2 linked regions of the Drosophila melanogaster genome follow. The protein of the gene in region 2 purifies or fractionates together with the protein of the main gene of each other region. This does not show direct contact. Each region holds a gene or a part of one and is shown on either strand. Other genes may lie near its edges.

Region 1 (5,047 bases), on a different chromosome or scaffold from region 2:
CTCGTTGAGTTTTTGTAAGAAACTGATTTTATTTGGAAATATCTTCGGTTTAAATAGGTGACATGAGAATCGCATCTTAAAGTAAATGGCCTACGCAGAGGCCTAAGTAAATAGTCCCCGCCTTATCGAGGTCCCACGCTCGGGCACATCTGCCTATCTTGAGCGGCGAGGACCTTATCTGTGGTCTCCCACTAAGGGACTATTTTAGGAGGCGGGGAAAGATCTCAAGTGACTGACTCATGTAGTGTGCACTTAAATTACATGTTTTTGAGCAATGCACCCATGTCGCCTTAGATAACAAAATCCTAAATATAATTTATCGCTCTCGATTCATTTACATAAGATATGAACGGAGCCCAAAATTGTAAGTCTTTAAATATATTCGTGTTCATGTGTGAACAGTTAGTCTGAATATTTCTTTTTCGTATTTATTTTTATGTTTCAAACTAATCTTTGTATTGAATAACGTAACGTGATGAGCTAATCGATATTTATTTAACTTTTTCATGCGAACACAAATAATTTTTATTTGTGCAGCAAAACATTCGCTGAGAAGGCAAGACTCGGGAAAATTGCACATAGACAAGATCTTAGGCCATTAGCTTTAATTGCAAAAGTTTTGGGCCAAAAGCAAGTGCAATTCCAATGGCAACAGCAGTGGCAGCTGAAACTGCAACAAATTGCGTGGCTATCAATATTTCCGTGGCTGCATTTGATTTCCTAATGCATCTGCAGCCATTCATGTCCCGAAGTTGACAGGCTGGGATGCCTCCCATCATACCATGCATCCACCTCCGAACCGTCGCCCCTGTCAACGATTAACAATATCCGGTTGTGTACCCCGGCAGTAGCTATCCGCTGGCCCGATTGCGAGCTTGGTTTTAATTAGTCCTGCCCGTACGTATTTTCTATTGGCCAATTCACCGCAGAAGCTTCATTACCGGTCTACCGTGTGTGTCTCTTTCGCTTTGTGCGTGTGTGCTTCTGCAGGACAGATTGCGAGTCATTAAGTTGATGCAGCAGTAGCAGCAGCAGCAGGAGGAGGAGCAGGAGCAGGAGCAGCATCCGTGTAAGCCACACAAACAGGCAGTTAGAATGCCACATGCCACGCCCACAGCAGCGGTCGAGCCATGTCGAGGGGCTGGGCAGCTGTAACTGAATCGAAATCAGCATCAGCACCAACACCAACACCAGCATCGAAATCCATAGCCAAGCCCGGATCAGAGCAGAAAACGAAACAGAAACATGTCGAGAGTTAACCTTTGTTGGCGGTTTGCTGCTTTTTGTGCGCCGGAAACGGCAGAGCAACTCAATCAGTTTTTGCGGTTTATGGTGGCCCGGCCAAAAGGGACACGCTAATGGCTCACAAATGGCACTTGAATAATTGAATGCCGGAAACGGAGGAGAAAGAAAGCTCGCGGTATTAGCCAGCAATGCCTGCGCTTGGCATTGTCCGCTTTATACACGTAATCCACATGTAAACAAATTGCACAATTCAACTACAAATTAACTACGGATGTTACTAACTAATCTTAGGGTCTAAAGCGAAGCATCCTTCTTGTCCCTATCGCCCGAAGTCATCTTATCCGGGTCCGATTGCGGTTTCTCTTTGCCTTGTTGCAGCTCCTCACTATTCTGGCTGCCGCTCAGTTTCTTCCTTTCACTTGTAATTAGCTGCTGCAGCTCTTGGTCCCAGCCCAAGGCTTTGGCCAGAGCCATTACGCCAGCATCACAGTCGCCCAGAAAGGCCACATCCCTAGTGTTATTGGGCTTATCGAAGAGTAGCGATCGCGTGTTGGGATCCATAAAGAGCACACAGCTGGCCTGACCCACTGCATCGCGATTGATCAAGAGGCGAATGCAACGTGGTCCTGGTCTCCACACCAGTGAAGCAAACGGTTGCACTTCCAACGATGTGCCCATGATGATCAGCAGATCGCAATCCTGGAAATCCTCTTCAGGACTGGAGTAAAATCTCTTTGGCAAGTTTTCGCCAAAGAAAACAATGTCTGGTTTAACAACGCCTTGGCACTTTTGGCATTTGGGCAGACGATCGGCGAAGATCTCCGCCTTCATCCAGTCCATGTCGTACTCCTTGCGGCACTTAATGCAGTGGTTGGTGTGGAAGCTGCCATGGGCCTCAATGATCTTGTCCTCGGGCAGGCCAGTAAGCCGGTCTAGCGTGTCTATGTTCTGGGTGTAGTGGCGCTGCAGTAGTCCCTTGTCGTTAAGCAAACGGATAAAGTAGTGGGCCGGCGTGGGAATGAAGGATCCAGGGTAAAGTTCCTTGGCCAGTGCAAAAAACGGCGCTGGATTCTTTTCGAAGTAGTCCAGATCGAATATGGCCGTAGGATGTGGCAGCTCGTACTTCTTCAGATTGCTGTATAACCCGGAACCTGGGGATCTGAAATCCGGAATGCCAGCAGCTAGGAATGGCGATAACTTAGTAAGTTTTTACAATGGTATATAGAATGTACCAACATGTAGATATGCCGGCTCCCACCATGGTCACAATCTTGCGGAAACCATGCACACGCCAATGTTCGGCAAAGCCGTCAAAACTCAAATCTGGAATAACCTGCAAATTTGCGATTTAATCAATATGATAATCAAATTATCGGGTGCTCCGCTCACCTTCTCTACTTTAACTTCCTCCTTTGCGTCCGAGGAGCCGCCGAGATGTAGAGTGTTTGCAAAGAAGCGTCGAACCTTATCCATTGTGTCGTCTAGAATTCAATTCAATTAATGAGTGACAGTAAAGACCTAACTATTTAGACTAGCCTGGGGCCTCCTCGTCGTCGTCACTGGACGAGGAATTGGAGGGCGTCGTCGGTTGTTCCTCCTTCTTTACTTCGATGTCGCCCATGGTAAACAGATTCACCTTCCGGTGAAAGTATGTAAATCTGAGGATAGTGTGATGAATTCTCCCAATTGTTTATGTTGCGTTTTGTTTTAACGTAAAAAGCAAAACAAGTTCTGACAACTATCGATAGGTTTAGGCTAACGAATAAGTTATCTCTAACAGCTATTAAAAAGCTAGAATTTTAATTTCATTGCTTATTGATTTAGATTTTAAAATCAAATTTGTGCGAGCAAACCAAAATATTATAATTACTTTAAGTAGCCTATCAATGAAAGATTTTTATTTAACAGCGATTTATTAAGGGTCGCAAATAAATATGTGTTTGTAACGGTTAGAACATATTATGACTCATTAAACAAAAAGGAACCGAATAATAGAATAACTAAAGCTAAGAAGGGCGCAAAGTTACAAAATCGAGTATAGATAAAATAACAATTACACTTTGTTGATATCTGAATATAAACTAATTGAAAGGTTAAAATCAGCTGAATTGTCAGCACGGAGTGTCCAAATAATCGATAGCTGTTATCGACCCACCCAGTGTTAGGCTCTCTAGCGCCACCAGCCCTGGCCGGCCGATAGTCGATTACTCGATGTTCGGCGGGGGTGCAGCTCTGCCCGTTCGCTCAGCCCTGGAAAACCACGCCAGTCATTTTTGTTTTGATAAGGATACGGATACAAAAAGAGCGTGGCCTGGAAAAACTGCAGAAACGGCGGAGAAAGCGCCCCAAAAGCGAGCGAAAACGGTGGAAACTGATCGTGGGGAAGTGCGCGACAAAGTGGCCGCGGATTCAGGCCCTCCCAATCGCTACGTGGAAGCGTAAGCAGCGTGTTGAAGAAGAGAAGAAGAAGAAGCAGCAGCAGCGCAGCAAAAGTACACAGAAGTGCAAACCAGACGACTGAAATAACAAATCAAAAAAGGCCCCAAAAGGAGCGGCGCAGTGGAAGCAACTGCGGGGGCGGGGAATGGCCGAGGGTCGTCGGTGGCCGCCATTGTGTAACGCCGCCGATGGGCAGACTGTAGATCCACGCTAGGATCATATCTCTCGAATATCATGCATCTGAACCATGCGACAGCCGCCACGGCAGCCATGGCCAACTATCAGCACTACCAACTGCCAGCCTCCCATGGCGGTGGCGGCGGAGGAGGAGGTGGCGGTGGCGGTGGAGGAGGGAGTAATGGTGGATCTGGACCGGGTCCCAACTCGGGACAGCAGCAGCCCACCACACTGGCCAGCCTGCAACAGAGTCCCTTTGCGCTGCATCAACTCACCGCCGTGCAGGCCATCCAGCACCCTACCCACCAAGCCATGCTCCATCCACAGCACCCGCTGGTCCATTTGCTGGACATATCCACTACAACAGCGAACAGTGGCGGAGGAGGCGGGGGCAGCCACACGCCCATTTCTCCTATGAAACAGGAGGTGCAGAGCGTGATTAGCGAGGAGGAGGTGGTGGTGGACGATCCGCGCAAGAAGAAACAGTGCCACGTGTGCAAGAACAAGTTCCGGCAGCTGACCACGTTACGCAACCACATGAAGATCCACACGGACGAGCGGCCCTACAAGTGCAAACACTGCGACAAGGCCTTCCGCCAGATCTCGACGCTAACCAACCACGTGAAAATCCACACCGGAGAAAAGCCGTTCACCTGCAACATCTGCGCCAAGGACTTTCGCCAGCAGAGCACCTTGATCAATCACATCAAGACGCACAAGGGTGAGTGTGTGGTCGCATCGTCCCAATAGACCTTATGACCTAACTCTATTTCTCGCTTCGCTTACGGGCAACAGCGGCGGAGTCCAGCACGCCAACTTCCCTGTTGAACTATCAGCCGCAGACGGGCAGTGGCAAACACCGAAAGTCCCAGATGCACCAGGCCTACCAGCAGCAGCATCAGCGCGTCCAAATCTCAAAGACCTTGTATTCCGGCAGCTACAGCTCGCCGGCGGCCGAGGAGCTGGTGAAGCCGTTCCAGTGTAGCGTTTGCAAGCGCCGCTTCCCGCAGCTGAGCACGCTGCACAACCACGAGCGGACCCACATCGATCCTAAGCCGTACAAGTGCGAAACGTGTGACAAGTCCTTTAGCCAGCTGGCGACGCTGGCCAACCACAAGAAGATCCACACGGGCGACAAGCCGTACACGTGTTCCTACTGCCACATGCAGTTCCGCCAGCAGAGCAC
Region 2 (6,231 bases):
AACTTCGTCTTCTTTAAAAATCTTCCCTAACCCTAAACCCCACTTCAGATACATTGAACGTCCGCTGTTGATCAACGACAATAAGTTCGATATGCGTCTGTATGTGGTACTGACCTCGATCAACCCACTCCGCATCTATATGTACAAGGATGGACTGGCGCGTTTCGCGTCCGTTAAGTACAGCTCGGAGCTGAGCAATCTGGACGAGCGCTGCATGCACCTGACCAACTACAGCATCAACAAGTTCTCGCAGAACTATGCGAAGAACGAGGATTTCAATGCCTGCCAGGGCCACAAGTGGACGCTTCAATCGCTGTGGTCCTGCCTGGAGAATCGTGGCGTGAACACTAAGCGCCTGTGGGCCACGCTACGGAATCTGGTCATCAAGGGCATCGTGAGCGGGGAATCGGGATTGAATCGCATGTACCGCCAGAATGTGAACTTTCGCTACAATTGCTTCGAGTTGTTTGGCTTCGATGTGCTCCTGGATGAGAATCTAGTGCCCTGGCTGTTGGAGATAAATATATCGCCGTCGTTGCATTCGGAATTGCCACTGGATCTGCACGTGAAGGGTCCGCTCATTCAGGCCGTGCTGAATACGGCTCTATATCAGGTGCCGCCTAAGCTGAACGAACGTCAGCAGGCGGACATCCTGGAGGAGCTTAATCTGACCGGTCCGTTGTGCCATGACAAACGCATCTTCACCACCTGCCTGACTGCAGAGGAGGTCCGCAAACATAACCAGTACACCAATCGGAGCATCGAATTCCGGGAGGAGTACGTTGATACCATACTGGACAATCTACTGCCGGACGATGTCCGTTGCCTGATCGTTGCCGAGGACGAGCTGGCCAGGTGTCAGCCGCTGGAACGGATCTTCCCCACCGCCGGCACACATGTATATCTGCGCTATGTCGAGAATGCCCGGTACTATAATCGCCTGCTGGACGCCTGGGAGACGAAGTACGCCAAGAATAGGGAAATGGGCATTGCCTTGCTGTCGCGCTATTGCCGGGACAAATACCATTTACAGGTGTCGGACGCCGCCATGGAAAAGGTGAACGATCAATTCAATTCAATTGAATTTCCCCTTCCGTACCGCTTCTGTAGTCCATTTTCAAGTCATATTTCTTATCTAGGAACCAAATGTTGCACTTACCGAGATCGATATGCTGCACGTGCGAAAGGATGAGGTCTTGGACGGTGCCACCACGCTGGCCATACTTAAGCCCGTTGTCCAGGAGGGCTGCGAGGTGGCGCCGATTCCGGATGCCTGCATCGAGATCAAGTCCTGAAATTGAACCGAACTATCAGCACTATCACCATTGCTTCTTCCATTGCCATTGCCATTTCCATTCCCGTTTCCGTTACCAGCTCACAGCTGTGCCAGCATCCCGTGCAGATGTGCTCCGGAATTGTATCCGCTCAGTAAATTCACTTAACTTCGATCGTCTTTGGTGGCAATAGCCTGTTTTGGCATCCAGCTAGAAATTGGATCACACGTCATTTCAGTAAATATAAAACACTACGGGGTGTTTAAAAAAATTATGAAAATAAATATTTTATTTAAATTTAGTTCTTATTATTTATTCTTTATGCGAACACTGTAAACTGTAAAGAGTATCGGTTTTCTTATTGGGTAATTGCTCAGCACAGTACTAAGCTTTTTGAACTACGCGGGCTTTGGCAGTTGCGATAAGTCTAAGGAAGTGCAATCGATAACTAGCGGCGCAGTCTTGAGTTTTCAAGCTGCCGATAACGACATCACGCCTCCAATTATCGATAGACGTAGTATAATAACAATAAACAAAAATTCACTGTATTGCACGGCGCTAAAATAAAAATTAAGTTTGCAAATCATGGCGTGGACTGAATTATAAACCCGGCTTGAAACCAAAGGACTGCAAGTGGAACAGCTGAGCTGCACACTTGGGAAATTGCCAATCTGAAACTGCGTGGAAAAAAGAGTGGCCCATTGATTTTTCGCTAAGTATCTGCTGATTAAAAAAAAATTGACCGCAGCGTTGGAATTTCGGCCTGCCAATCAGAAAAATGAGTGGTAAGAAGCCAGTTCTATGCAAGAATGGGCACTATATATTAGTAACTAATAATATGATTTGCGGGGATTGGGATTTGCGTGCTGACTGTATGGGAATTTGCAGTCTGCTTTTGGGGAGTTGGGGTTAATGTTCAGCGGGCCGGGGGCTTCGAGGTCCTGGCTAAAAAGGACGCACCTGCGCCCTGACCTCCTCTCCAACTTCTTGAAAAGTGCGGACCCCTCGATGAAGTCATCAATTTTGTAACATGCACACGTATACAGTGAAGCTTGCATTATGTATTTCCTTTTTGGGCTTTTTGTTTTACATAATTCTGATATTGTGTTTAATGCATAATAAGTATGAAGTGGTAAACCTTAGTTTCTACCCACTGTGCTTTGTTAACCCAAACAGGCGACGAAAGTGGCGAGGAGAAGCACGTCCTGAACTTGTCCAAGCAAAAGCTGAAGAAGGTGCCCAAGCAGGACGATGCGCACAGCATACGGCAGCTCATCCTGGACGAGAACGAGCTGCAGAAGATCGACAACATAGACTCGTATCTCAAAATTGAAACGGTGACTTGCAACGTTCTGCGAAAAGAAACAAGTTCCTAATTAACAGAAATTCAAATATTTCAGCTCTCCTTGGCCAGAAATCAATTGCTGCGCATGTATGGCGTCTGCCGGCTGCATTGCCTGCGTGAACTGAATCTGTCCTTCAATGGCATACTCTCTATCGAGGGCCTGAAGGAATGCATCCATCTGCGCGTTCTGAATCTGGAGGGGAATAACATCAAGACCATCGAGCATCTGAACACGAATGTCAATCTGGAGTGCCTGAATCTGGCGGATAATAGCATTGGCAGCATTTCGGATATGTCCTATTTGCGCAATCTCAAGGAGCTATATTTGCACGGAAATCGCTTGACGCATCTGAGGCAGTGCGACAAGTGTTTGCCCACCTCACTGGAAACCCTAACGTTGGCCAAGAATAGCATCAACGATCTCAACGAGATCTGTACGCTGTCGCATCTGAGCAACTTGCTGAGCATTTCCATTGCGGATAATCCCTGTGTGACCATGATCAACAGTTTGGAGTGAGTTAGCTTAATGGATCATATGGATTGCGCTTAAAATGTAACATCTCTTGCAGTGGCTTTGATTACCGACCTTTTGTTTTAAACTGGTGCATGAGCCTCAAGTACATCGATGGCTTTGTGGTCGATCCTATTGAGAGTCTTAAGGCCGAATGGCTGTATAGCCAGGGACGTGGTCGCCAGTTCCGTGTGGGCGAGCAGCAGGGCTTGGCAAAATACCTAAGTTCTGTGTGCCCGCTGGTGGGCAAGGCGCTGGAAAATGAAAACGATAGGAAACTCCGGCTGATCCTCAGCAAGGCGCAACACCATCAGCGGCAGCTGCAGGAAGAGATCATGGATAACGCAAATAGTTCTGCCAGCACTTCGCCCTCATCCCATCGCAAGAAGCCCACGAGTCGCATTCAGTCGCCCAGATGTAAGTTATTAACTCCCTATCTATGCTTTTTCATATAACTTATATTTTTCTGTCTTCGATTTAAAGTCTCCCGCTTGAGTGGCCGCCAGGGATCACCGGAGTCCATGGTGAATAGCTATCACGGGAACAGCAGCAACAATAGCATTGTTAGCGACAATGGATCTACGAATCATTCGCTGCAAATGAGCATTTCGCTCATTGAGAACATTAAAAACGATGGCGAAGGCTTTAGTTTGGCCGGCAGCGGAATGTCCAGCAGCGTGACCACCAAGACATACAATTCCACGGAGTCCACGCCACGGAATATAACACCCAATCCCTACAATGGTATGACAATTAAAATATATTCAATGCAAGAGTGGAAAATGATGTTAATAGTAAACAACAATTCCACAGATCAAACGTTCATCAGTCAAACCCCATCTGGTGGTCCATTGGCGGCTGCCTCGAAAATGGTCCCAGTTCCGGAGACTCTGATGAGCCCGGATGTCTGTCCCGCCGCTGTGGCCCAAAGAGTTACGGTTACGGCACTGAACCCTCAGCTGCACAAGACCAAGATCAACAAAAATAAAGGTAGCCAGTAGTTGTTACTCTAGACTTTTAAAACGACACAGATTTCTAAAACATACATACACATTTACACTACAGACAACAAACTGAACTTGCCAAGAGTGCGAAGTCCACAACTGAAGAGGAACCAAAGCCCTACGAGCAGTCCACGGAGGATGGCCAATAAGTGCAGCGCGGACAACATGCAGGCACCGGAGAAACTCCAGCAATCGGCTGTTTTGGCCGATAGCGGTGGCTTCAGCACCGACGACGACGGCGAGCAAATCAACATAGAGAAACTGAGAGCAATCCGGAAGATGGCCGCTCAGAAGCAACAGCAGATGCATCAGGAGCAGCTGAAGCAGCAGGTGGACAACAACCTGAACTGCCAGGATCGGCTGATCGAGCACGTGACAGAGTCCTCGGCCGTTACCATCCAAAAGATGTGGCGAGGCTATCACACACGCAAGAAGACCAACAAGGACATAGCCGAGCGATTGCAGCGACGACGCACACAGGAGTATATCGAGTAGGTGGTCTCGTTTTAGGCAACATATATCGCAACTTTCTAATGCTCTATCTGTCGCATTCCTCAGACAACTCGGCAAGGATATGCTACTTACGAAGGCCCAGCTCGAGAACGAGCGAAAGATTCAGCAGCTGCAGATGCAGGCCATCAATGCGCTGTGGAAAAAGGTGTCCACCATGGAGGTGGATCCCAAGGGAATACCTGCTGCTGCGGAACAGGGCGAGGACTCCAATGGCGGAGGGTCTGGCCACCTGAGTCTCGATCAAAATTCAGCCGCCGTGGTAAATGATTTGGCGAAAAGATGCACCATGCTCACCGATCAGGTTCAAATGCTGCAAAGCTCGATTGGAACCATCGTCAACTGCCTCACAATGGTGTGCAATCTGCCGCAGGACGCTATTAAGAAGCAGGCCGAGATCATTGATTGCAGCTCCACTCAGACGGACCTCATTGCCGTACACACGCCGCAAATAGAGGACCTCACCAATTTTCCATTCACCAAAACAAGGCCCTCAACCTTGGCCCTAGAATCCAAGCACGAAGCTGCTCTGGCTTGTCCCAAAATCGATGAATTGAATGATGTCGACCTGAAGGAGACCCAAGAAGACTCGGAAAATCTTGATAAAGATCCATGAACAAATCCCAGTTAATAAATGAGGAGTATAAACGCTTTAAGGGTCGATCTCAGCGCTTATTAATTCCTTTCTTAGGCTTTTGTGTAGCTTTTGCAACAATATTAGATCGGTTACGAGAACTTAGAAGTAGCACCAGCATTCACAAACACATTACTTTGTTACATTCCTGAGATGCAGCGATGGTGGAAGACTTAACAATAGTATGAACAAATCGTAAATACAAATTTTTGTAAAGCACAAAAGGTGTTCTTGATTGCGGGCAGATTTTGTTCAAAAACAACACCAGCATTAACCAACAGTTTTTTTTTAATTAAGTTTGACAAATTTGTAAATAACCTAACTATGTGTGTGTTTGTACATCGTTCAGTCCTCTTCGCTGGATGTTTCCTCATCTTCCTCTTCGTCGGAGGAATCGCGATTTACAGGCCGATTTGTATTGGGCAGGAGATCATCCTCGAAATCGGAGTCGTCTTTGTTTTGGCTGGTGGCTTCCTCCTGTACAGGTTTCTTTGTGAATTTATCCGGCCAAATTGCAGCTTTTGTGTATTCCTTTATATGTTCGGGTGTGAGTATTTTGCAAATCTCGGCTTTGACTTTATCGCCCTCCTCAATCGGTTCGACCAGCAGAAAGTCGCCACGTTTCACCCACATGCTCTTGCGGAATTTGTTGGGCATCGAAACTAAAAGGGTCAGAAGGATACAAATTCATTATTAAGTATCAACATGAAATGAGTTGGGATGGGCTATCTCAACATGTCTTTATCGAGACGTTCAGACGGACGGACGAAGATATACGGACGAACGGAAGGACATGGCCAGATCGATTGGGATATTGATCCTGTTCAAGAATATATATGCTTGGTATGGTTCCATCGCTTCCTTCTGCCTGTGACATACTTTTCAAAAAATCTAGTATACCCGGCAATAGCTAGTTCAAAATTAACTAACCATGGAGTTTTCCTCGACTTTAT

The links.
Region 1: the proteins of Cep97 (region 2) and Sirt2 purify together in Drosophila melanogaster (affinity purification with western blotting, with the first as the bait; one study listed by BioGRID). This does not show direct contact.

What each region holds. Positions count from the first base shown.
Region 1 is NT_033777.3:20,326,408-20,331,454, reverse strand, and holds Sirt2 (sirtuin 2), read right to left. Parts: upstream 2,991-5,047; 5' UTR 2,867-2,990; coding exon 2,782-2,866; intron 2,727-2,781; coding exon 2,635-2,726; intron 2,579-2,634; coding exon 2,482-2,578; intron 2,427-2,481; coding exon 1,540-2,426; 3' UTR 540-1,539; downstream 1-539. Other genes in the region: CG4360 (uncharacterized protein), read left to right, coding at 3,919-4,582, 4,657-5,047.
Region 2 is NT_033779.5:3,865,930-3,872,160, forward strand, and holds Cep97 (centrosomal protein 97kDa), read left to right. Parts: upstream 1-1,767; 5' UTR 1,768-2,052; coding exon 2,053-2,059; intron 2,060-2,450; coding exon 2,451-2,611; intron 2,612-2,674; coding exon 2,675-3,132; intron 3,133-3,188; coding exon 3,189-3,547; intron 3,548-3,613; coding exon 3,614-3,874; intron 3,875-3,943; coding exon 3,944-4,120; intron 4,121-4,160; exon of another isoform or gene 4,161-4,195; coding exon 4,196-4,625; intron 4,626-4,692; coding exon 4,693-5,260; 3' UTR 5,261-5,496; downstream 5,497-6,231. Other genes in the region: TTLL4B (tubulin tyrosine ligase-like 4B), read left to right, coding at 49-1,057, 1,140-1,295; CG31957 (uncharacterized protein), read right to left, coding at 5,624-5,940.